3 linked regions of the Drosophila melanogaster genome follow. The gene in region 2 interacts genetically with the main gene of each other region. Each region holds a gene or a part of one and is shown on either strand. Other genes may lie near its edges.

The links. A genetic interaction does not mean that the proteins touch.
Region 1: of tral (region 2) and BicC, changing one enhances a phenotype caused by changing the other (phenotypic enhancement), as found in Drosophila melanogaster (one study listed by BioGRID).
Region 3: of tral (region 2) and Zfrp8, changing one suppresses a phenotype caused by changing the other (phenotypic suppression), as found in Drosophila melanogaster (one study listed by BioGRID).

What each region holds. Positions count from the first base shown.
Region 1 is NT_033779.5:16,039,334-16,049,385, forward strand, and holds BicC (bicaudal C), read left to right. Parts: upstream 1-2,713; 5' UTR 2,714-3,194; intron 3,195-3,583; exon of another isoform or gene 3,584-3,741; 5' UTR 3,742-3,753; coding exon of another isoform or gene 3,754-3,888; 5' UTR 3,889-3,912; intron 3,913-4,490; 5' UTR 4,491-4,721; coding exon 4,722-5,028; intron 5,029-5,089; coding exon 5,090-5,139; intron 5,140-5,218; exon of another isoform or gene 5,219-5,454; coding exon 5,455-5,524; intron 5,525-5,587; coding exon 5,588-5,667; intron 5,668-5,732; coding exon 5,733-6,059; intron 6,060-6,507; coding exon 6,508-6,633; intron 6,634-6,693; coding exon 6,694-7,075; intron 7,076-7,268; coding exon 7,269-8,396; intron 8,397-8,624; coding exon 8,625-8,872; 3' UTR 8,873-9,293; downstream 9,294-10,052. Other genes in the region: beat-Ic (beaten path Ic), read left to right, coding at 1-197; CG45084 (uncharacterized protein), read left to right, coding at 3,754-3,888. UniProt on the Drosophila melanogaster protein: RNA-binding protein that is involved in oogenesis. Required for correct targeting of the migrating anterior follicle cells and the establishment of anterior-posterior polarity in the oocyte. May act as translational repressor of oskar during oogenesis.
Region 2 is NT_037436.4:12,512,074-12,520,975, forward strand, and holds tral (trailer hitch), read left to right. Parts: upstream 1-2,985; 5' UTR 2,986-3,378; coding exon 3,379-3,499; intron 3,500-4,485; coding exon 4,486-4,986; intron 4,987-5,342; coding exon 5,343-5,884; intron 5,885-5,950; coding exon 5,951-6,181; intron 6,182-6,364; coding exon 6,365-6,594; intron 6,595-6,656; coding exon 6,657-6,997; intron 6,998-7,070; coding exon 7,071-7,078; 3' UTR 7,079-7,622; downstream 7,623-8,902. Other genes in the region: sti (sticky), read right to left, coding at 1-1,329, 1,389-1,751, 1,808-2,052, 2,309-2,594.
Region 3 is NT_033778.4:24,131,196-24,137,244, reverse strand, and holds Zfrp8 (zinc finger protein RP-8), read right to left. Parts: upstream 3,257-6,049; 5' UTR 3,230-3,256; coding exon 2,961-3,229; intron 2,904-2,960; coding exon 2,819-2,903; intron 2,765-2,818; coding exon 2,075-2,764; 3' UTR 2,019-2,074; coding exon of another isoform or gene 1,878-2,018; 3' UTR 1,840-1,877; downstream 1-1,839. Other genes in the region: Naa35 (N(alpha)-acetyltransferase 35), read left to right, coding at 1-477, 538-719, 778-1,815, 1,878-2,018.

The DNA.
Region 1 (10,052 bases), on a different chromosome or scaffold from region 2:
ATGTTGCTGCTGCAGGAGGAGTTGCGAGTTGCAGCATTAAGCGGCTGTCAGCGACACTTGTGGGGGGCGTCAATGCTGTAAGGGGCGTGGCCAGTGGGCCGGATCAACGATTATTGATGACTCGGCGGCGAGAAAGGCGGCAAAAGAAATCGCAGGCGATGGATGCGATGATGCAGTCGCGTTGGAGCGCGTGCTGATGCCGAATTGATGATGAAATCCATTTTCGAAAGTAGCTTAAGGTGCTCGCCACCGTGCAAAATAGCCAGTATATGGCTCTTTTCCTTTCGCACCCGAATTGTTGAAGGGCATAATTAATATACATTCGTACTCATACTGATTGCATCAGCCAGCTGCATAAATCGATCTGGTCGTAGCTCTTAAGTGTTGAACGCATAAGGTCAGGGAAAGTGCAGTATATATTTAATTATTGGCAGAGCAAAGTCAGCAAGTAGATATTAAACCGATGAATAATAACAGGAAATGAATTAATCTTAGGTAAAATACAACATACGGTGAAACCATTAAATAAAAAGATACCCTGTACGCCGCTATCTCTCAAATCTGTTTTCGGCCTACTCACATTTTCGCAACAGAATTAAACGGAAATATATTGTGCTGTAAAACAGATCACCAATCAATCACATTACTTCCATTAACTATGTGAAACTGTTCTGTTCACTGTTAAAATTAAATATCTATTTGTCATATTTATTATTTTGTAAAAATAGTAACACATTTTATTTTCAGCTAGACACACTTTTCAGACAATAATATCAACTCAATAAGCATATATGAATGCTACAGCAAGGTATTTTCACTTTTTATTCCCGATACTTTCGAACAGATCTTTACTGTAAAAAATAAAAGATCACAATAAGCCACGACAAATGGCTCTCAGTGAAGAGAACATTAAGAGATGCGGAAAGTCAAACCAAAAATGCACAGTTGCCTGGGCACTGGGCACGTACAGGGTGAGAAAATGCGTGTGCTCAGTCACTGAAAATCAAAATGTACTTAGAATAAATACTATGTACTTCAAACTCTTATGTTATATATCAAGCGTTAAATATATTCAAATAAAAAATCAAAAAGTTATAGGAATTGTGCACAGTGTACAGCAAGCTGAACTTTAGACTGCACTTGAGCTTAGCTTTCGGGTACCGTAGTGCATTTTAAAGTGGGGTTTTGACAGCTTCAAAATTGTAAACAACCGAATATAATTTAAGTCAATACTAATACCCGTTACTTTTAGAGTAAAAGAGTGTTCTAGATTAGTGGAATCGTTTGTAACATTATAAGGTATTCATCTGAGTAACGGGTATCTTATAGTCGAGAGAATCGACTATAACTTTATTTTGTTTGTTTTCTCCTTTCAGAATGAAGAAGACATTATGTCAATGTGTAAATAAAAGCTTAAAACCAAGCACAAAATTAATATTTTGTAACATCCACTGTACAGAAAGGAACTTTTTACGGTTGTGGAAATGAAAAGCAAAATTAATTATTATAGCAAGCGTTTATTTGTAGAAAACAACGAATACATAGAGCAAATTAAAACGAAAAAGAATCTTTATTTTCAAGTCTTGTTTCGGCAATATTAAAACTCGATGAAAGCAAAAGAATTATTTGAACATTTTTGGCCAACAAAAATCCAGCGGTAAATAGTTCCTTTACCTTAAACACAATTCAATGTATGCAATGGGTAATCGTAGCCCAAAAACAAATGAAAATGTATATTAAAAAAAAATAACAATAATAAAAAATAAATGTTGAATAATTTATAAATTCAGTACATATATTTAAAGTGTAAATAAAATGATAAAACGTAATAATAAAACTTATGAAATATAAATTAATTGGTGTACATGCAAAAACAAGTAATACAAATAGATAATTATATAATAATAAACTGCATGCCGCCAGATTTTTGTAATCAAATCGTGTTGTGAAAGTTGTCTTCCCTAATTTATGCCCATTACATTAAAACATTGACAGGGGATTTTAATTTTAATTTCAGTATGGTTTCAATTATGGCCAATATATATAATAAACTATAACCATATGTATAAGAATGTAAAAAGCTAGTTTTATGTACATAAAAATGGGACAAACATTTTGATGTTACTGAATAAATATTAAAAGTATTAACCAAGAAATATGAAAGTAGGATAAAAAAACAGTGAATGTTTCCAGCTGCTAGGAAAAACGATAAGTCTTAGATCTATAAAGAGAATCAAAAACGCGGTCAAATGCATAGCACATAATATATTCATATCCCCAATAAATAACCCGAAATGTGTAAAGCCAGAATAAATGTAATAATAAGATTGAAGAAAACAAAATAGTGATGTAAAATAGCAGCAAGGAAATAAAGTAACCCCTATTCAATAACTATTGCTGACGTCTTTTACTCGTACATGTCATCATTTAATTACGTAATTTAAGTTTGGTTTATTTAAAGTTTGATTTCCGGTTGTACAAGGGTGAGCGTACTTTTAAAACCCACTGTATATAAATACTTTGGTAAAGTGCAGGTTGGGGAGTTTCAGAAGCTTGAAAAGCTCCGTTTCCCGTTATAAAGCTATTGCTGAATATCCGTTATCCAGTTGGCTGGCAGCTTTTTAAGGTTGTTCGTGCACTGGCTTCACTCCCCACAGAACACAGAGCTTTTGGATCTGAAGGTCAGTTGGGACTGGGACCCACATGCCGAGCTTAGTTTGATAGTCAGCGCGCTTTAATGACGACAACTGCACGGCGCGCACAACCCATTAATAATATATTAATTCAAAAGAGCTATAAAATATTAAAAAATATTCAAATATAACTAACTAACGCGCAGTGCACGATTTTCTGACAACAATTCAGTTTCGCTTTTCATGAGACTCCATTGCATTTTCCTTTGTGTTTTTCACACACGTGGTGTTTTTCTGTTACTCGCACTTCGATAGTGGTTATTTTTTTTGGTTACATTGAAAAAATACACCGACTGCCAGCCGAATTCCCATTCGAACCTTAATTTGACCAATTGACGGAAAATTAATTGCGCCCAAAATTAATTAGCAAGCGGATATACAATTTTTTTACGTGAAAAGAGCGTGTTATTTGTCGAAAAGATTTTACAATTGATTGTGTTTAAGTAAATTAACCTGCGATATCTATGTGTATGTGCTACGATCCGAATTTCTGACATTACGGTAAGTGGCGTGTTTTTGGCGGGAATAAAGTCGGTTTCTCTTTGTGCCGTATTTCTCTACCGTTTTTTCTGGCGCCAAAATGAATGAAAACGGTTGGCAACATTTCAAACTTAACATTGCAACATTCTAACCGCTGTTAAGCGTTTGCTCTGCAAATTGTTGTAGCTATGTTGGAGTTCTGGAACACCACCTCTCCCTGCGACTTTGTTTTGTTTTTCGCTCTCGACATATGGAATCGAATCTCTTATTCCGGGAGCGGTTCATTGACCCAGCAACAACAATATTCGCCAGATTTTCTCCTGCCAGCGATTTGCGGAATTCATCCGCTCAACAGTTAGAAGTAAATGCCGTCGAGCAGCGGGCAAAATCGATCGACGAAATCGAGAGCCGCGTTCAGTTGCCTTCAAGCCGTACTTAGAAGAAGTGCTGGTCCCCCAGAAATCAGAGAGATTTTTCCCAACTTGCATTTTTCCAATACTCTGACAAAGCCCCTCAGACCGTCGCAATCACACAGCTATATACTGATATATAGATCTCTATTGCGCAGATCACACCTTAAATGCCTTTCGTCGAGAGATTTCAACAAATACGTAATTTTGTTATGAACGTCTGCCTCGTCGAGGCCATCCAATTCGTCCAGGACCTCTCGCACGCCATCTGTCTGGACCTCCAGGGCCTATTTAATCTCAAGTAGAGATCACCGAGCGATCTCCCAGCGGTAAGTTACGCCATTGGTTTTTGGGCACAAGGAAGTGAAAGTGAAGACACGGGTGAAATTACGGTTTTCGGGATCTCGAGAGAAAGGGGAAAGTACGAACCTCATGGCAGCAGCACTCCATTTTGAGAGGTTATGTGAAAGAACACACAAGAAAGTTTGGAATTTTCGACAGGCGGCGAACCAATAATAATGTTGTTATCCATAATAATATTAATTAGTGAATTTTTATTTCACCTTTTCGCGGCATTATTCTCACAAATTTATAAGACAGATTTTCAAATTAAGACAGAAAGTTTTTTAATGTTAGTGAAAAGTACTTATTCCAGTTGATAGTTAAATACTATTTACCGCAAAAAATTAAAAGAGAACTAAATTTAAAGGTAAAATCGTTTTTTTTTTTGGAAAGTGCATTGCTTAAATTATGGTACCGACTATCAAAATAAAAATAATTAATTTTTATATGGTGTTTCAATATTCACTTTAAATTACCTATGACTCGCTTTCTAACCACTCTCTTCTTATTACGAACATCAATTTTCTTGTTACATCATTTCGGACCTTTCATTTTTCATCACCAGCTCATCCCATCAATTCAGATACACTTTACTTCATTAAGTAGCAGCAATCATCTAACAAAGCTGACCAAACAACGGACCGGCTTCCAGAATCCTTAACTGAGACGGACGTTTTGCTTGGTTTTTAAAACTAAACGACTTTTTGGTACCCACACCTGTTGACCTCTGACGAATTTCTCGATCCACTGACCGATCCACTGATCCAGTGATCATCATCATCATCCGAATTCCACAATGTTGTCCTGTGCCTCTTTCAATAAACTGATGTATCCGTCGGCCGCAGATGTTGCCAAACCGCCAATGGTGGGCTTGGAGGTGGAAGCTGGATCCATTGGATCCCTGTCCAGTCTTCACGCCCTTCCATCGACCACCTCGGTGGGCAGTGGAGCCCCCAGCGAGACGCAGAGCGAGATCTCCTCCGTGGATAGCGATTGGAGTGACATACGCGCCATCGCCATGAAGTTGGGCGTTCAAAACCCAGACGATCTCCACACGGAACGTTTCAAGGTGGATCGACAGAAATTGGAACAGTTAATAAAAGGTAATGCCTTTATATATAAAAATAATAGATTCCTTATTATACATTGCCTTTTTTCTGATAGCGGAGAGCTCCATTGAGGGAATGAATGGAGCTGAATATTTTTTCCATGACGTGAGTACATATTTTTAAGTTTTGGGCACCTATTAGCTTCACACTTTCTTTTGTCTCATTTTGAGACACAGAATGCCATGCCTTATAAATATTGAACATATAATAATATGTTTCCTATTCAATAGTATATTAAGTTATTTAGTTTTTGAGCAAAATTTTTAAGTTAATTGATTCATGTCTTTGTTTGGCAATCTGACTTTGCATCTATAAAATTTCAGTGTATAACCCAATTTGTTTTAAGATACTGTTAGGACCGACTCTTTTGACTTGATATAAAAGAATTCGCCATATATCCAAAACATATTCTTTTACTAGATCATGAACACTACGGATACTTATGTGAGCTGGCCTTGCAGACTCAAAATTGGTGCCAAGAGCAAGAAGGGTAGGATATTGAAATATTTTCAATGTTCAAGAGTATTTTTCAAATAAATCCCATAATTTAAAGATCCCCATGTGCGAATTGTGGGAAAGGTGGATCAGGTTCAGCGGGCAAAGGAGCGCATCCTTAGCAGTCTTGACTCCAGGGTGAGTGAGCCAAAGCATAATACAAACTTATCTGTTTTAATTGTTACCCATTTTTCTCCGAACAGGGCACTCGAGTGATCATGAAAATGGACGTCAGCTACACGGATCACTCGTACATCATCGGACGAGGTGGCAACAACATCAAGCGCATAATGGACGACACGCATACCCATATCCACTTCCCCGACTCGAATCGCTCCAATCCCACGGAGAAATCCAACCAGGTGTCGCTGTGCGGCAGCCTAGAGGGCGTGGAGCGAGCCCGGGCTCTCGTTCGGCTCTCCACACCGCTGCTCATCTCCTTCGAGATGCCCGTAATGGGACCCAACAAGCCGCAGCCCGACCACGAGACTCCCTACATCAAGATGATCGAGACCAAGTTCAATGTTCAGGTGAGTTCCAGATGTCGGAGTCAACTAAGTGTAAGATTATAAATTAATTATAAATTAATCATGGCATGTTACCAAATATTATTTGCATTTGACTATAATGGCTTGATTAGTTTAACTAATTTAGGTAAGATTTTGTAATATACATTCATACATACATTTAAGAGGGGGTATAGAAAATGTCAAATTTTTTTTTCCCAACCCTTGAGAGTTGTGATTATATATTGCTCCATTATAATTTTATCAACTGATGTTACATTAGGCTAATTTTGCAGTTGTGTTATTATTATATATTTTTAAGTGATTTAGAACGCATTTAAAGTAATAAAGTTACTTAAACGTTATTTTCGAATTTGGCAACCTTAAATTACAACCAAGGATTTTTGTAAACAGTTTTTTCGTTGCTCTTAATTATTATTGAATATATTTTAAAGATTTTTCCTCCTTTCAGGTCATATTCTCCACGCGTCCAAAATTGCATACCTCGCTGGTTTTGGTCAAGGGATCCGAGAAGGAATCGGCGCAGGTCCGAGATGCCACGCAGCTGCTGATCAACTTCGCCTGTGAGAGTATTGCGGTAGGTTCGAGAAGGATAACTCAAAATAAGGCTCATCAGCGAATCCTTTTTCCTTTTTAGAGCCAAATCCTGGTGAATGTCCAGATGGAGATCTCGCCGCAGCATCACGAAATCGTCAAGGGCAAGAACAACGTGAATCTGCTGAGCATTATGGAGCGAACCCAGACCAAGATCATATTCCCCGATCTGAGCGACATGAACGTGAAGCCCCTGAAGAAGTCCCAGGTCACGATCAGCGGACGCATCGACGACGTCTACTTGGCGCGACAACAATTGCTTGGCAATTTGCCCGTAGCATTGATTTTTGACTTTCCGGACAACCACAACGATGCATCCGAAATAATGAGCCTCAACACCAAGTACGGCGTCTACATCACGTTGCGCCAGAAACAGCGGCAGAGCACCCTGGCCATTGTGGTCAAGGGAGTGGAGAAGTTTATAGGTAAGATCTCTAAAGCAATGTGTAAAGTGTATGATTTTCGTTGATTCTGCATTAATATACGATTGCACTTTCCATTATTGTTTGATTTTTATCCCATATTTTCCTTACTTTTTAGATATATTATACAATTTAAGATATTTAGCAAGTGCTGAATTAAATTTCCGTATTAATCCGTTGTTGTCACCCTCCTTAGACAAAATCTACGAGGCCCGCCAGGAGATCCTGCGCCTGGCCACGCCATTCGTGAAGCCCGAGATCCCCGACTACTACTTCATGCCAAAGGACAAAGACCTTAATCTCGCCTACCGCACCCAGTTAACTGCTCTGCTGGCTGGGTATGTGGACAGCCCGAAGACTCCATCGCTGCTGCCGCCCTCCTTGGCTGGCCAACTGACGCCCTATGCCAACAACAATCACCTGTTGTTGAACGCCAATGGCTTGGCCACGCCCACTGGGGTGTGTGCGCCCACCCAAAAATATATGCAGTTGCACAACAGCTTCCAACAGGCTCAGAATCGTTCCATGGTGGCTGGTGGGCAGAGCAACAATGGCAACTATCTGCAGGTTCCTGGAGCGGTGGCGCCGCCTCTCAAACCGCCGACTGTTTCGCCACGGAACAGCTGCAGTCAGAATACCAGTGGTTACCAGAGCTTTAGCAGCAGCACCACCTCCCTGGAGCAGTCGTATCCGCCGTATGCCCAATTGCCGGGCACCGTGTCGTCCACTTCATCCTCCACCGCGGGAAGCCAAAATCGGGCGCATTATTCGCCAGATTCCACTTACGGCAGTGAGGGTGGTGGCGTTGGCGGCGGAGGTGGTGGTGGGGCGCGTCTGGGACGACGCCTTAGCGATGGAGTGCTGCTGGGGCTGAGTAATTCCAACGGTGGAGGAGGTAACTCCGGAGGAGCCCACCTCCTGCCCGGCAGTGCCGAGAGCTATCGGAGTTTGCACTATGACCTTGGAGGAAACAAGCACTCCGGCCACCGTGCCTTTGACTTCGACATGAAACGGGCCCTGGGCTACAAAGCCATGGAGCGCACCCCGGTGGCAGGGGAGCTGCGAACACCCACGACCGCTTGGATGGGAATGGGCTTGAGCAGCACCTCGCCCGCCCCTGCCCCGCTGGAGAACGGGGAAAATGGGGCTGCTGGTGGAGGAGCATCTAGTGGGTGGCGGCTGCCACCAGGACTGGGTTCCCCTTACGGACTGAGTGCCACCACCGGACTCCTGGACGCCACTCCAGTCAACCGACGGATGCAGCTAGCCAAGCACAAGGACATCCAGACTCTGCTCACCAGTTTGGGTCTGGAGCACTACATCAGTGAGTAGCTCCGCCGATCATGTCCGTTTTTACCAACTGTGTACTAGAAGTCTTTTATAAAGCTATCATATATGTCTGGCTTGAACTGGAGAGTGTTTTATTTAACGCAAACGTTTTTTCACAGTCATAGATAAAGTTACATAAAGTTCAACATCCATATAGCATTTAAAATCAAACTATTTTATATTTACAACCTGGGAAAACTACAGTTTTTATTTCTCCTTTCAGAAATATTCGTTCTAAACGAAATCGACCTGGAGGTGTTCACCACCCTGACCGAGGAAAACCTGATGGAGCTGGGTATCGCGGCGTTTGGAGCTCGCAAGAAGCTGCTGACGGCCATTCACACGCTGCTGGCCAACGAGGCGGCCTGCAGCACAATGCCCAGCAGCAGCTCCTCGCAGAACTCCTCGTCGCCGCGATTCTCCGGAAGTGCGGCCCCAGGCGCAGAGCGCCGTCCCTCCAACCAGTGGTGATCCGCTCCTGTCGTTCGACCCCATTGCCTCGAATTCTTTTTTTCTTTTTTTTTTTGCATGCCCATTTATTTGGTAGTCGTAAGATCAAGAGAATCGGAACGGTAAAAAGTATAGGAAGAAGTCAGGAAGAAAATGGCAACTCCCTGGGCGAATAGCTTTCCCGCACAACACAGCCTTGACCTTGACTTATACTCGCATTTGTACTCAAATTCCAAGTAGCATAGCTGCGCTCGGGAAAGTGCACAGTTTTCCCAGTGTGCCAATAGGTCGTAGTTGCCTTTATTTTAAGCGATTAATTTATTTTGAAATTATTTATATAGGAAACCGTCTTAAGCAAAAAAAAAAAATATTGTGAATTATTTATGAAATCTAACTAAACGAAATCACTTGTTGTAAGAAATGAATTTATGTAAACTAACTGAAAAAGAAAAAAAAATTAAAAACAAAAGCACAGCATGTATTAAGTGATAAGCAAAATAGTCACGCACAAACATTTGATATGAATAAATTGATGTCTATGAAAAATCAACTAAATATATTTTTTAGTAGATTATTAGATTAATATGATTTGCTTAATTTTGTAGAAACATTTGTAATATATGTACATTAAGTCGTTGCCGCTTTGAACTCTTTTAGCCTGGTTGGAATAGAGGTTAATGACTTTATTGTCTCCAGTTGTCTGCATAATTTGTATTGCCTCGCCTCGTGCCAAGAAGTCTTGCAAAGCAACAAAATCGAATGTGTGTCCTTACACGAACTAAACGGGCGGCAAAAGGGGCGTGGCTGAGCTAATGAACTGGAAATGTTTTGCTCCAGTTGCCGGTGGTTGCTACCGTGTTGCATCAGCATAATTGCAAATTTTTATGATTATGACACTTTGGGCGCAAAGTGCCTTTGCCAATGGCAACTAATTTCTGCAGCCATCTCAGTCCCAGTCTGGTGGTCATCTACATGGGGCTATGCTCCACTTAAGTACTTCGAGTGGGCTTTTGCGGGACATTTTGGCAAGCGGCTTGATTTACAATTATGCTGGATTTGAATTTGGATCCCAAGTGGAGTCACTGACCAGCCCGAGAGTCGCCAGTTTCGGCCTCCATTCGTCAATGCTGGTCCCATTTTAAGTAGAGGAAGTGTTGTGTAATGGGAGGACATAGTTAAGTGGCCATAAGTATAATTTGAG
Region 2 (8,902 bases):
TTCTTGAGTTTCATTTTCCTTCAGCTGCAGCTTCGTCTCCAGTTTGACCTTTTCCGCATGAAGCTCATTATTGGAGGCGATCTCCTCGTTCAGACGCCGCAGAATTTCTTCGATATTCCGCTCGGTAGCGTTCTTCGCTTCTTGGGTGGACTTGCTGGAGGATATGGACTCGTCCAGCTCGGTGCGTATTTCCTTTATCTCCATTGTCATGCGGCGGTTTGTATCCTGCGAGTCGCGAACCTTTTTCCGGAGATCTGTTAGCTTTTGCTCATACAATTCGGCCATTTGGCGCCTCTGCTCCTCATGGTTTGTCTCGGACTTGAGATTCTGCTCCTTGATCTGCTGCAGCATATCCTTGTAGTTTTGCAACTTCATGGACAAATGCTTGCACTCTTCGAACTTGGCATTGAACTCCAACTCACGGGCATCTAACTTTTGCAGCGTGGATGCCAGCTCTTGCTTTTTGTCCGCCAATTGTTTCTCATATCGTTGCTCCGAAGCGATCTTGGCTTCTTCGTACTTTTGTCGATTAAGGCGAAGGAGATCGGTGATAGTGGCTTCCTTCTTGGACCACATTTCCTCGTCTATTTTGGCCGAACTTTGGAGTGTCTTAATTTGCGTCTTGCAAGTGGTAAGCTCCATTGTTTTCTCCTTGATAATCTGTTGCAGCTTCTTAATTTCCATTTTAGCATCGGCTACCACCTGAGATTTGTTATCGGTCTTCCTCAGCGATTGCTGAGCCCGCAGAAGATCTTGTTTCAGCATGGAAATCTCGTTCTCTCTAGTCTTCAGTTTCTGCAGCAGTTCCTTTAGCTTCTCCTGAAGCTTTTCATCGGTGGTAGCGGAAATTGCCGACTTTTCCATGTGCACAAAACTGTACCCAATGAATGGCAGATCCTTGCCACTGAAATCATTCGATTTCATGTTAGTCGTAAGGGACTTTTTAGCAACTCCCTGTTCTCTGCGAGTCTTATGACGAATTCCGTCCTCGAAATTGGAGGTATCATCGTCAGACCTAACAGTTGGTATAATCGGTGGAACCTGCGAGCGAATGGAACCCCACGGAATTTCGCTAAAGAAGGGGTGATTCTTAATGCGCTCATAGGACAATCGCTTCGAAGGATTTGTGACCAGTGACTCAATAAGATTTCTATAGTTAACAGACACCTTCAAGTCGGCGGGAAAGCTGATGAGCTCTTTAAGGTGACTCTCCTCGCAATGGGAGAGAATCTTGGAGTATGTCTCGTGTACATTGTCCTCGTGAAAAGGTGTTGTCTCGCATATTAACTCATATCCTATAATGCCCATGGACCAATAATCGCAGCTGACCTACAAAATGAGTTCTTGTTTTAGCTATGAACTTTCCAAACCAAACTCTGCGATCGTACAATTCTACTCACATCGTGCATCGACTTGGACAGCTTGTAGGTGGATATGGTTTGCAGCAGCTCTGGAGCTATGTAATCCGGTGTTCCCACCGGCGACAAACTCAGCACATGGCCATCGCGATCCAAGGCAGCGGCATTACCGAAATCAGCCAGTTTAATATGGCCAAAACGATCAATCAGTATATTTTCAGGCTTTATATCCCGATGCACATAGCCCATCTCGTGCAATGTGTGCAGGGCCACTGTGAGCTCGGCCAGATAGAAACGAGCCAAGTCCTCATCGAAAGGGCCGTGGCGTGACATCAAGCTGAGAAGGTCTCCGCCGGGCATGTACTCCATGACCAGGTACAGATTGTCGTTATCCTAAGTGATAAGTTAATTCAAGTACTGAAATATGCGAAAATGTGGAAATAACAAACCTGAAAGGCATACTGCAGATTGATTAGCCATTCAGAGTTGCGAATGGACATGATATCGCGCTCCTCCTTGACTTGTGACGTCGTCACCACCGACTTTTTGATCTTCTTCATGGCGTATATGTCGTTGGTTTGCCGCTCCACCACCAGGTGAACGTTGCCAAAGTATCCTTGGCCAATAAGCGTCTTGATGAGGAAGTCATCTGCGTTGACCCTGAGTTTGCGGGTCTCCTCTATGATGGGACGAACTGGAGTAGGAAATTAGATAGTAATATAATGGGTAACTAGGCATGAGCTCTATTTTCAAGGAGGGAAACCGGAACATACAGGTAAATCTATAAGAGATTCTACTCCCAATAATTTTGTGGGCTTTAATAATGGAATATGATTAGCAAAAGTAGATTCTCTGACCCGAGGAAGTAAAAATGTGGCTTCTGAGTTCCATTTCTATAGAATGGTAGATACTCCATCCGAAAACCCTGCTGACCAATGCAGTTGACTCACATTTGTTGACAAACTCGGCGATGTTGCGATCGCGCTTCTTCAGCGTATCCTTGTCGCACTCGTTGTACAGCAGACAGAAGGCGTCCAGGAGTCCCTCGCGGCAGATGGCCTCGGCCACGGCGGCGCTAGTGGTGCTCACGGGTACAATGCTTCTCCTGGTGGAGGCGGGAATACCTGATCCGGAGGCGCTTCCAGCGGGCTTCGCACAGACGCCAGCTCCTTTGCCCAGAATCAGGTTGTTCAGACGCGCGGTGCGCACGCTAATCGGCTCCATCTTGGGTGGCATGATGGACTCACTTTTATTTGCAATTTTCTCACATAAATAATACAATTAGAAATCCGTAAAATGCCAGAGCATTTTTCTGCCGTTTCGCTTTGAAAAAAATGCGCCGAGGGAAGCCGAAGAGCCAGGGATGCGTGCTCACTTTCCAGAGTTGTATTTAGGGTTGCAAGTAGGGCTGCCCTGTGAAAGAGGATAAAATTTGAATTTTAATGCAAACAGAGAACGGATAAATAATGAAATAGTCTTATTTACTTTTGGCAACCTTTTGAAGCGTCCCCTTTTATATTTTGCACAGTTTTGCACATAAACAGTTATTATTATTATTTCGCTGCCGCCGCCGCTGCTATACAACCGCGCTTTCCAACACCGTCGAGGCTCTCGCTCGTATGCATCGTTCATTTTCGACGGGTAGGTTTTCGCAGACGGACGGAGCAAAGATTTGTGCATCGAAAATTGCAATTTTCACATTTGGAGCCGTGTGTGCAGCATCACAGACATTGGAAAAGCGCTTGTCGCACTTGTGCAAAAACACAGCTTGATAAAGCAAACGCGGCTAGAAGGCGATTGGCCGCAAATTCGCCCTGGAACTGGAACGCAATTGCGTGTGAAAAAAAGACGGAAAAAAAGTAAAAGAGCAGAGACTGAAACCGTCGAGAAATCGTTGTCGTCGCGCTCGCTATAATTGTTTGCTTTTGACAGAGAAATTCGTGTGCCTGTTGGCAGAAACATTTAATAATAGTTTGTATTTTCGGCGTGAGTGCGCAGTGAAGCATCGAAGTAGTTCAAGATGAGCGGGGGATTACCGGAGTTGGGCTCCAAAATCAGCCTCATTTCCAAGGCGGACATTCGATACGAGGGCCGCCTGTACACGGTGGATCCGCAGGAGTGCACCATTGCGCTCTCGAGTGGTAAGTATTTAATACGAAAATCGCCCACGTCGCCCATATATGTACATATACGGGATATACATATGTGGGTGCCGTAATCTGCGCCAAAAAAAAAGAAAAAAAAAATCGTGTAAAAAAACGGTTCATCGCAAAAGAAAATGGATTCTGTCCATTTCTCTTGTGTTGGTGGCTCTACTCTTTCTTTCCTTTTGGTTCGTTTCTTTTTGTTAGTTTTTACAGTAATTTCATACTCGTGGAGACGGTGAGTGCAATTGCCGCCACCGCTCTCTCCATTACCCATTTCGACAGCCGTCTCTCGCTCTCCCACTTATGCTTTTTGTTTGTCATGTTGGCTTTGGCCTGTTTTTGTCTTTGGTTGTTGTTGTACAGTGTTGCTTTTGCAATTTACTTGGCACACATACACCCGCGCACAAAGTAACGAGCACCAGCAAGGCCCCAATGCAATTTGTTTATTTGCAAATACAATTTCGATTTGGCGCCAGATAACGGGATCCAAGGGCTCCCGTTACGGATGTCAGTGCCCTGGAAGTCGAAAAGGAGGAACGGAGAGCGGAGAAATACCGGCAAAACATGCGTTCCCCAGTTGAGGTTAAATTGGAAGCGCGGCCTAACCTTAATGGGTTTACAAGTTTGCCGCAATCCAAGTAATTCGTCTTTTGAACAATTGCATTATATAATGCGGTGCATTCATTTTAAAACAATTGGAATATAAACTTGAAAGATGTGGGCTCGGAAAGTTCCACTTATTAGATGGAGCACTTTTAAAAACCGACTTAGAATACCGGTTAAGCAAAAAAGGTAGCTTATTTGCAATGGAAAAATTTAAAAATTTAAAAGTTTAGTTTTGTGAAAGATCTTTCTTAAAGCAATGGAATAAAAATGGCGGCTGGGATAAGAAAACTTTACGGAAAAAATGTTCACTATTGTACTCTTTATACGATTTAATATTATAACTCAATTCATTTTAACCCTCTTTTCTTTTTCAGTGCGATCCTTCGGTACAGAAGATCGGGACACCCAGTTCCAGATAGCGCCGCAATCGCAGATCTACGACTACATCCTATTCCGTGGCTCGGACATCAAGGACATTCGCGTTGTCAACAACCACACGCTGCCGCACCACAATGACCCGGCGATCATGCAGGCGCAGCTCCAGAACGGACCGCCCCAGATGCCGCAGCACTTCCCCATGCCCAGCGGGATGAGCGGTCCGCCGCAGCAGCAACAGGTGCCGTCGCAGCAACCGCCCCAAATGCCAAGCGGTGGAGGCAGTGGTGGTGCTGGTGGAGCAGGAGCTCCTGGCGGCGGCGGACCCGGCTACGGCAATGGCAATCCGTTCGGCAACCTCGGCGGTCCCAATCTGGCCAACATGGTGGGCAATGCGGGCGGATCGCTTGCACCCGGTTCCGGTGCTCCGGGCAGCGGACCCTTCATGCACATCGGTGGCAATCAGCAGCAACCGAAGCCCCAGCAGCAGAAACAGCCAAGTGAGTTGGTGTAGACCACACATTACTAAAATTACATTGCACACAAGTAGAACTTCTCATTTGTGATCTTAAATCAAAATTCGTTTCCTGCTAAAAAGCGATTGCTATTTTCAAAAACGCAAATTCCGGGAATAGTTTAAGATATGGTTCATTTTGTGGCTTTATCCGATAAGCGAGCATGTCGATTTAAATGCTTAAAAATTACGCTCTTTTACTCAGCCCTTTAAAATAGTTAATGTCACCTTTTGATACAAAGTATTTGACACAAGTATTTGTTTGGACTAATGTTTTTGGTGCCCACACGCATTACTCTCTCCTTTACTTTCGTCCTCGTTGCGTCCTCTATATGTGTACAGTTTCCGTTCTAGACATGCTGGCCGGTGCCTCGCGATCGACGACGCCCATTAGCCTGATTGTGAGTCCCACGGCGGAGCTGACTCAGCAGCAGCAGCTGCACCAGCAACAGAACGCTGGCCAGGGTGGCAACGGACGCGATGCAGGACATAAGCGCCAGAACCACCAGCAGCAACAGAATCAGCAGCATCAGCAACGTGGCGGACCCAGCCACAACAATATGCAGCAGCAGCAGCAACGAGGCGGCGGCAGTGGAACGGACTTCTATAACCAGCAGCGGGATCGTCGGGACTCCGGACGTCAAATGGACAACAACTATAGCAACAACTACAACAACAATAATAATAATCAGCGCAATCGCGGCGGCGGCAACGGAATGCAACAGCAGCAGCGAGGAGGAAACGGCGGCAGCGGCGGCGGCGGTGGAAACGGAGGTGGAAACAACCCGGCCTGGAACATGCATCGCGGCAACCAGAACTCGAACAACATGATGAACATGCGCAACCGCGGCATGGGATCCCGCGGCCCCATGCGACCCAATCAGGTACACCTGCTGGTGACTCACACTGCTATAGATGGTTTATTAAACCCTGGCTTTCACATTTTGCAGGGCTATCGTCCGCAGTCGGCCAATAATCAGAACAAGCCGCGGAACAAGATCAAGTTCGAGGGCGACTTCGATTTCGAGCAGGCAAACAACAAGTTCGAGGAACTGCGCTCCCAACTGGCCAAGCTCAAGGTGGCCGAGGATGGTGCACCCAAGCCAGCCACCAATGCAACGGCCGCCACTGCAACTGCAACCAATGAGCAGGTGGGTGAGAAGGTTGAAGGCGTTCACACAGTAAGTCCACATACACTTTTTATTTTTATACACTACAAATTAGTTCTAAATGAATAAGAGCAGTTTATTAACAAATAAGGTAAATCTTCTTCTTTATTTATTGCTTGTTTAAGTTCAGTTTAAGTAACATTTTCTATACGATCGTTTTAAGAGTTACTCACTATTTGCATCATCTGCTTGCAGCTGAATGGCGAGACCGACAAGAAGGATGATTCTGGCAACGAGACCGGCGCTGGAGAGCACGAGCCTGAGGAGGATGATGTTGCTGTGTGCTACGACAAGACCAAATCGTTCTTCGACAACATCTCGTGCGAGGCTGCCCAGGATCGCAGCAAGAACAAGAAGAACGATTGGCGCCAGGAGCGCAAGTTGAACACGGAGACCTTCGGAGTGTCCTCCACACGACGTGGCAGGTAAGTCCAATCGAAGCAATCAAGCAAATGCAGTGTGGCTCATCAACTGAATGTATTCCAAGCAGTTACCGCGGACGCAACCAATACTACAACAATAATGGCAACGGCGGCATTAACTCGGGATATGGAGGAGCGCCAGGCTACAACAGGAACAATTATCGCATGGGTGGCGGCGGCGGAAACTTCCGAAACAGGAGCAACAATCGCAACAACGGCGGCGGTCGTGGCGGAAACGGAATGCCAAACATCACCAATGGCAACACGGCTGCTGCGCTGAAGGCGGCCAACAATGCTGCTGGCCACGGATCCAATGCCACGGACTCCAGTGCACCAAATGCCACAACCGCGACGACAAAGTCGACGTCCCTCTTGCCAGAGCAGACGCAACAGGTGGCGGCAGTTTGTGAGTAGCAATTACATCTAAGCACTTCATTTGCAACATGTTTGTTTACATGTGTGTCTGTTTACTTTTGCAGCACAATAGTGCCGCCCGGCCAGTGGAAAGCCACTTTAAATATACACCAACCACAACCAACAAACCACAAATTGATAGATGCGAATTGAGAAGAGCGTAAAGTAAATATCCTATTCATTGCAAAGCTAATTATTCGAAGCAAACCAATCAAGTGACCCGAACGATCGACGACACACAGGCTCTTATTATCAGGAATTTCGAGTTATGGATCCAGCGGCATAATATATTTGTATAATTAAATTAGTGTTACAATTCTCACGACGTCCTGGGGCGCACTCCGCTGCTGCCCGCCCACCACCACCGTGTGCTTGGCGATGATAAGCGCTCTACGATTCGATTAATGATTAGCGACTAGCGCGAATGTGAATGTGAATGTGAACCGAACCGAACCGAACCGAACCGGCCATGTGTTAGGCTTTGTGTAAATGGCTGGTTCCAACGCCTTGCGCTGAGCAAAAAGCACGGCATTGATAAGAAGGAGCAGATAATGGCACGCCAGCATACATACATATATTTAGTAAGAACATAGTTAAGCATAAGTATGAAAAGCTACAAAAAACAAAACAAAACGAAAGCAACCATTTAGCAAGGAGAGGAGCAAGGAGATTTGGCGGAGGAGCCGATAACAACAATAATGAAATTAATGGAGTAAACCAATTAAATCCATGGAATTCCCAAATCTAAAATAAAAGCTAACTTAATACGTTTTTATTTGAATGAAAGAGTAACAAATCGATTGTAATATTGTATTTCTTGTGGGCGTAAAACATCGACAAACGCTCGACCCGTTTTACTAGCATTTAAAACAACTATTATTTAAGAGCATTTTAAACATGAAAAAAAGAAAATAAAATCGGCAGCTACGCGCTTCTATCAAAAGCACAATTGTAAAAAGTCAATCCAGCTCAGCTGCAATGAATGAATGAAGTCTCCCGAATGAAAATGTTAAACGAAAAAACCCCAACAAAAAAAAAAAAAGAAAACAACCAATCATTAGCAAATTTGTCCAAAAAGAAAAGCCCAAATTTTCGGTTTTCGTACAGTTTATTTTCTCTGATCTCGGTTGGGCAAGGGAAATTATACTTACGATTCGAATCGATTTGAAAAGATACGATACCTATGGTGATGATGTTCTCAATGTAAATGTTAAGATTGATTGTGTGATTCACTGGCTGCTGCGCTTGAAATCGAGGCCTTCAAAAGCGAGTAAAGTACGCGTATCTCCAGCTGAATCCCTTTAGATATTTGTTTGTTATCCTTGTATCCAGATATATATTTGTATTCAGCACAAGCCCAGTCCAGTTTGGCCAGTTAACACGCTGGCAGAGAGAAGAGGGATGAGGATGAGGATGAGCTGGCGGAGTCACCACAAACATTTCAATATTATGTAATCATAAATTATGTATCTAATTGTATGTAATATGTATATCTCCATATATGCTCACTCTGATTAGCTCCACATATGTATGTTTGTATATAAATACGCAATTATCGAGTTGAACACTGAAAAGAAAGCACGTTTCGCAAGTAATGGCTAAATTGTAAAGACTACCACGTATGGAAATTAAAAACTAAATATACCATGTAATAAAGGATAATTGAATTCAAGCAGTAAGCAACTACGGTTAACATTTTCATTGTACCATCGGCATATCCACGATATCCTTTGCCATTTCCGGTGCAGCCTTGGAAAGGATGAAACGCAGATGTGGAGCCACGTATTTATGTATGCATGAGCCTTTGTACAATGTCCTAGAGATTCGATTAAACTCCCGCCCCTAAGATATAATTTTATAACTGAAATTATTTACTAAACCAAAATAAAAACAAATG
Region 3 (6,049 bases), on a different chromosome or scaffold from region 2:
GCAACTCCATGGACCAGGTTCTATTCACCTGCCTCTACCTGCACGCTCCCGCACAGATCAAGGATAAGGCGCTGCGCGTCTTCTGCACTGCCGTGCGCAATCTCATCGTGGTCATCAAGAAAATTATTGCCGTGGCAGCTGTCAACGAGGAGGAGGACTTCCAGCTGTACGGAAATTCTGCTCTTCTGGCTGCAGAGAAGGCACAGCCAGCCACTGTTTATAGCTCGCTAAAGGATGTGGAGGATGAGCTCATACGCAAGTGCAAAAAGCTGACTTCCACGGAGGACTGGATGGCCGTGGTTCACCGGCTGCGTTTCATGCGCCATCTTTTCCAGGTGATCTACCACGTGGAGCAAATGGCCAGCAATGATACCGTCGATGACAAGGTAGACATATACAAAATCCTGCTTGTGGCCTCCGAGATGCTTCCAGGAATAAGGAACACTTTGGATCGGGGCACACAACCAGAGAAGGGGTGTAAGTGGTCACAGATAACTTGCCAATGTAAATGCTGAGTATTTCCTTCTAAATCACTAGCTGACGCTCCCAATCCCATGGGTTTCTCTCCGCGCATCCACGACCGCAGCCAACCGCCCGCGTTTCCGCGTAGCATTAAGATCAGGGATCGTCCATCCAGTTATCAGTTTCTAGAGGAAATGATTTCGCGCTTCAAATACGCCTGCAAAGTCACCAAGTACAAGGATTACTATTCGGCGCTGGTAAGTGACTTTTTAAGTGACTTCTAAAATAAATTGTAATAACATCCTGGCTTTCCAGAACTTCTTTATCGAGTACAGCAAAAAGTCGGGCCAGTGCATCCTGTCCAGAAGCGTGCTGCAAACCCTGTTCAGCGCCAACATGCGTATGGCGCACGGAAAGCTTCCCATGAAGCAGTTCCTGCGCCACTCGGTTCAGGTCTTCAACTCGCCACCCGTATTGAATGCCAAGCATCCGGTGGCTGCCGATCCCAAGGTGCAGCAGCACCTGGAGAACTTCTTCCGTTACTGCATTAACATGAACACCTTCACGCAGTTCATTCGCATCTGCGGCTTCAATCGCGCCAGACAGCGGGATAAGCTGGCGCGTCTGATAGAGAACTTCGACACCATCCAAGTGGATGCAGCGCGATTGGACTCTATGATGAACCAACTGGCCAACGAACGAGCCATGGAGGGCAACGAGCCCATGGCCACCGCTCTGAAGCACAGCACCCACTTCTCCACATGGGTGCTGTACAACTGTTTCCGTGCGATGCTGATCTTCCTGATGTCCGGCTTTGAGCTGGAACTATATGCTGTGCATGAGTTCCTCTACATCTACTGGTATCCATACGAGTTCCTCATTGGCTTCCTGGTCTCCGCGCTGACGCGCACGGAGAACATCCTCCTGGCCCAGGAGGAGTACGCCGAGCACCAAAGTAAGACCCAGTCGGGCGGCAGCGGAGCGGCTAAAAACCGCAAGGCGGCCAAGCCGAAAAAGAACAAAAAGACTCAAAGGCCGTACCGCGCCGAGATCGTCTTCTACCACGCGCTACTCAGCCTCTGCGGCGGAATGTATAAAGCAATGGGCGCCCTGACCAAAGACGGACGCGTGCGACTGCCGCTGTCCAAGTTCGACAACGAGGAGATCCGCTACAACCGACGCTTCCTGCCCTTCGCCACACTCACCAGTCCTCCGCCAGTTTCGTACGCAGAGTTCAAAAACGTCCGGGAGCACATGATGCGACATAGCGTCGAGGATCTATATACCTATGCGGCCAAGCACTTTGACCAGGCCCGCAATGTTCTCGAAAGCATTCAAAACCCAGATCAGGAGGTAAGTCAATGGTAGTTCTGAATTGGTTTTCCTGGATTAAAATGCGTTTCGTTTAATTTCAGATGCTGGACCTCCTGCAAATCGCACGGACTAACTTTGTGGTGATGAATGTGCTGGCTCGCGGTCACCAGAAGGAAGTCAAGCGGCAGCCAGAGTTCGACTTCTCCAAACACAGCTACTTCCCCATCATCAAGCTGAAGTAAATGTTCACGTGTTTCGTAATTGACAAGAATAAAATTTAAATGTACGCATTTTAATGTCAACTCTGATCCTCCGCCACAATGTCCTGCTTGATGAGAAGCTCCTCCACGTAGCCGTCGATGGGGCAGCTTTTGGCGCAAGTGTAGACGGCCAGGACGCCCCAGTCGAGGTTTTCGTCCTCCAGAAGAGTCAGCGCTTGCGGCATAATCTGAAATTCGAACTGACGCTCTCCTCCGCAAGCAATGCAATTGGGCAGCTTGTTAAGTTGGTCCTCCACCGTTTTGACGGTATTCGTGATCCAGAGGGGCTGGCCTCCACGTTTGTAGCGCACGATCTGATCGGGTTCGGCTGCTGTTTGCTTTTTGAACTGACGAAAGGTCTTGTCATCGGCGGCCGCCGAGTTTCCGAAGTACTTGTCCATCTCCGCCTCGGAAACATTGCTCAAGTCGCCCGTCTTCCCGCTGGACTCCAGCTCCTGGAACTCCGCCAAGCGAGCCTCATCGTCCTTGTCCTCCTCGCCAGACTCCACGGGGTTGCTGTCCATTACAATCTCAAATTCTGGGAAAACGATTTGTGTTAAGGGCTTCTCAGTGGCTACTTCTGGTGCTCCGCAGTTTGGCTTGTGTTGTGGCCAGTGGGCCCTTTGATGCTCTGGTGAGCAGTAGTGGATTGCCTTGCATTTGCTGCAGGCGTGAGGAGCATGGCAACCGCAGGCGGCGCATAGTTTCTTTAGGCAGGGAACGGCGGGCTAAGAAAACATATTATGATGAGTATGTTCTGAAAATATGGCTGCTGTTCCTACCAGGGGTTGACCCACGTCGCTCGGCTCCTCCTCCGAAAAGAACTTATTTTTTCGCGGCAACTGTGACCTGAGGACTGTGAAATTGCTGGAAAGATGGGTAAGATTAGGTTGCAAGTTGGTTTTCAGAGCTAGAAGGGATTACCTTGCATTTTGGGCCTCCTGGCAGTCGGAATTCCGGCACAGGAACACATAGATGGACCGATGAAAGTTGTACTCGTCTTCGAAGGGAGCGTATAGCTGAGCCAGGAAGGATTTGGGTGCCCTGCACTTGCTGCACTGCAGCTGCGACGTGGGCGGCAAGGCCTCCAGTTCCAGCCATGCGGGCTGGCCTCCCAGCTTGCTGGGAAAGTAGCGGTTGCTCAGCCAGGCGCCATTGTCGCTCTTTTCCGCAAATCCCAAGTCAATCTCCATTTCTTTCAATCTCCGAAACGAAACTCGTGTTCAGTGTGACCGCAGCGGGAGCGCCAGAAAATACCTCTACAAATTCCGAAATAACGTTGTATAATAACTGATATTTTCGGGGAATCACACTTTTTGGGTGTTATAATTTAAAATTTAAATTAATTACATTCGTTTAATTTGTTGATTTCGGCAGTTCAATAAAATAAAATATTCTTTTCTTCATTGAATATTTGCGATTACTCTTATAAACATAAGGGGGAAACATAAGATTTTAATTTAATGACATTAATCTGGAAGAATAACAAATCTCATTATCCTGAGCCCTTAAAAATGGCAAGCGGTTCAAAATTATAGAGCGAGGATTAATCAGATAAGGCCCCTCTTCTACGCCACTGATAATAAAGCTTGCATGCCATGGATTTGGTATTTTCCGCGAGTTCCTCCATGGCGATTTCCCAGATTTTGGCCACTTCAGTATGCGGTTATTTCTCACGGTTAAAAGTTCTGCTCTCCGAGTTGATTAAACTGGCTAAAGTGATATTTTATTTACTGTTGTGATAAACGCGTGTGAAAAACAAAGACTTTCCATTGCCCGCGGACACAAACGATCACGAACCGAAGAGTGAACCGCTCAGAAACGGGGGGAAAACCAGTTTTCCCACGATTTGATGTGATTGTGAAAGCGCAACGAGATTTGTCAACGCAAACAAGCAAGAAGAAGAGCCCGTGGATAGCGTAATATTTGTTAATAATAACGGCTGCAAAAACAACAACATTGCGGAAGCAGAATCTCCGACTTGTCGCGTTTCCGTCGCAGCAGCGCTAAAAATAAACCCACCCACGCACCGCCCCCTCTCGAATCGCCAACCACCCACTCCCGCCCACCATCCACCTACCACCACCTTCCGCCCACACCCACGCACGAATTTGGAGAGGTGAACTTGTGTTGACTTTTCCAGCGCGCGGACTTTTCCGAAGAAAAATGCAAAAATGAGAGCCGAGCCACCAGCGGACCACTGGGAATTTGCGTAAGTCCAAGGCGGATGCTTCCTGGTTTCGAATTACAGGGTATCACGTGCGCTGCTGCGAGCTAGTGAACAAGAAGGCACCAGATGTTTGATGGAGTGCACATAGAGAAAAGTTTGTGTAGGAACTATTAGGTGTCCGGTACAGGGTATCTCCGCTTCGATGCCCCTGGCAGTGGCTCGCTTTCTGGCTGCCAAAGAACGAGCCGGGTGAGCTTTTATTTGCTAAATTTAGTGCCGCATTGCTGAAAATAAGAATGGGAGCACCCTGCCATCGGTTGCCGGTAGGCAGACTCATATATATGTATATGTATATGCATAATCGCCCCTGACGGCCAGTGTGTGGTTCGGTGGATCTTTGTCCAGGGCACATGGCCCGAAACTGTTGCATGGCCCATCCTCGTCCTGGCCAATCGATGCCTTCGATGCCGACTTCGACTTGGAGTGCTGCCTGAATCAATAAACGCCTCAAATCCCTGCCATATTGCGTCCATTGTAATGTCAGCACATAAATTCTCTGCCCATCGAGGGGCATTTTCACTCGGCTGCAGGCATTCGGTAGTGGTATGTACGCTATGTGTCCTGGCCAGGCAATAAATATTGAAAATTCAATTAGCAGACGGACGGGCAGCCGAAATGCTATGAATTTATCACCACCTGAGTGCGAATGTGCCTGTGGTACTCATAGTAAATAAGTAACTTCATTGCCATTCGGCCCACTCCACTTGCTCCACCTGCATGCTGGCTATTGATTTTAATCCGCCCTGCAATCATCTTGCTTCATTTGGCCGCTGAATTTATGGGTTCCCACGAAAGCTCCACTTTCTTCGGCCCGCTTTCCCATTTCCCCCACTTCACATTCCCATTCCCACCAACAATGTGTGCTGTTTCGGCGCTGGAAAACATTAATTAAAATTCACTGGACTGGGAAAGCTATCAGTTGCATGCATATTCAATTGATTCATTATTACAGGACATCATACATGTAATGCTCAGCTCATTAATCGGTTGACAGTGCGTTCCTTCGACTGACTGTTTAAATTCCCATTTCAATATTGTTGTTAACTAGTAGTATGTATGTACGTACATATGTACATATGCTTATGTACGACTTGAACCCAAGCAACTAAATAGGAAATTGTCAGTATGTGTAGCGTCGAAATTATTGCATAAGTAAATAAATTATAGAGGATGAGAAGGGAAGTCAGTTTATGTGGCTTGCATAAGTTTGTTTTGATATATTTGATAATTATACGCTTATCACTGCCAATGTTGTTCTCTCCGCACACCGCGTTTATTCGACTCCTCTTGTCACCACTTCGCCGTTTGCTCAGTTGCACTACACTTGTTTATCCACGCCCGCCTTGCTGCTCATTCGCATTCTGATTGGAGCGCCGAACGCCAAGTGAGTCACTCCCCAAGGTTGCTCAGCGTAGTGCCTCTCCGGTGTTCTCAGTATCGAATGCCAAAGGCCAATGGACGATCTCTGGCTCCACGATAGCCGATATCAATATCGAGTTAGCCAGTCAAGTGGCTCGGTTCTCCGGCTGGCGAGGGGGGAGATAAGGGCAAGCGATGCAATCGCGAGGCTTCTGGGTTCCTATCGAGCACTTGTGGGCTTTCCTTCGGGTCAGCGAGCAGATGATACCCAGTTGGGAGTAGTATTTGCCAGGTAAAGCTCATAGATAGTAAAGGGCTGGAGCTTGCTTTCCGGTTATCTATTATCATCACAACAAGTGAGCTCCATTATTGCGCTCACTTTATTTACTCTACTTATTTTCGCGTATATTAGGTAAGCCTGGAA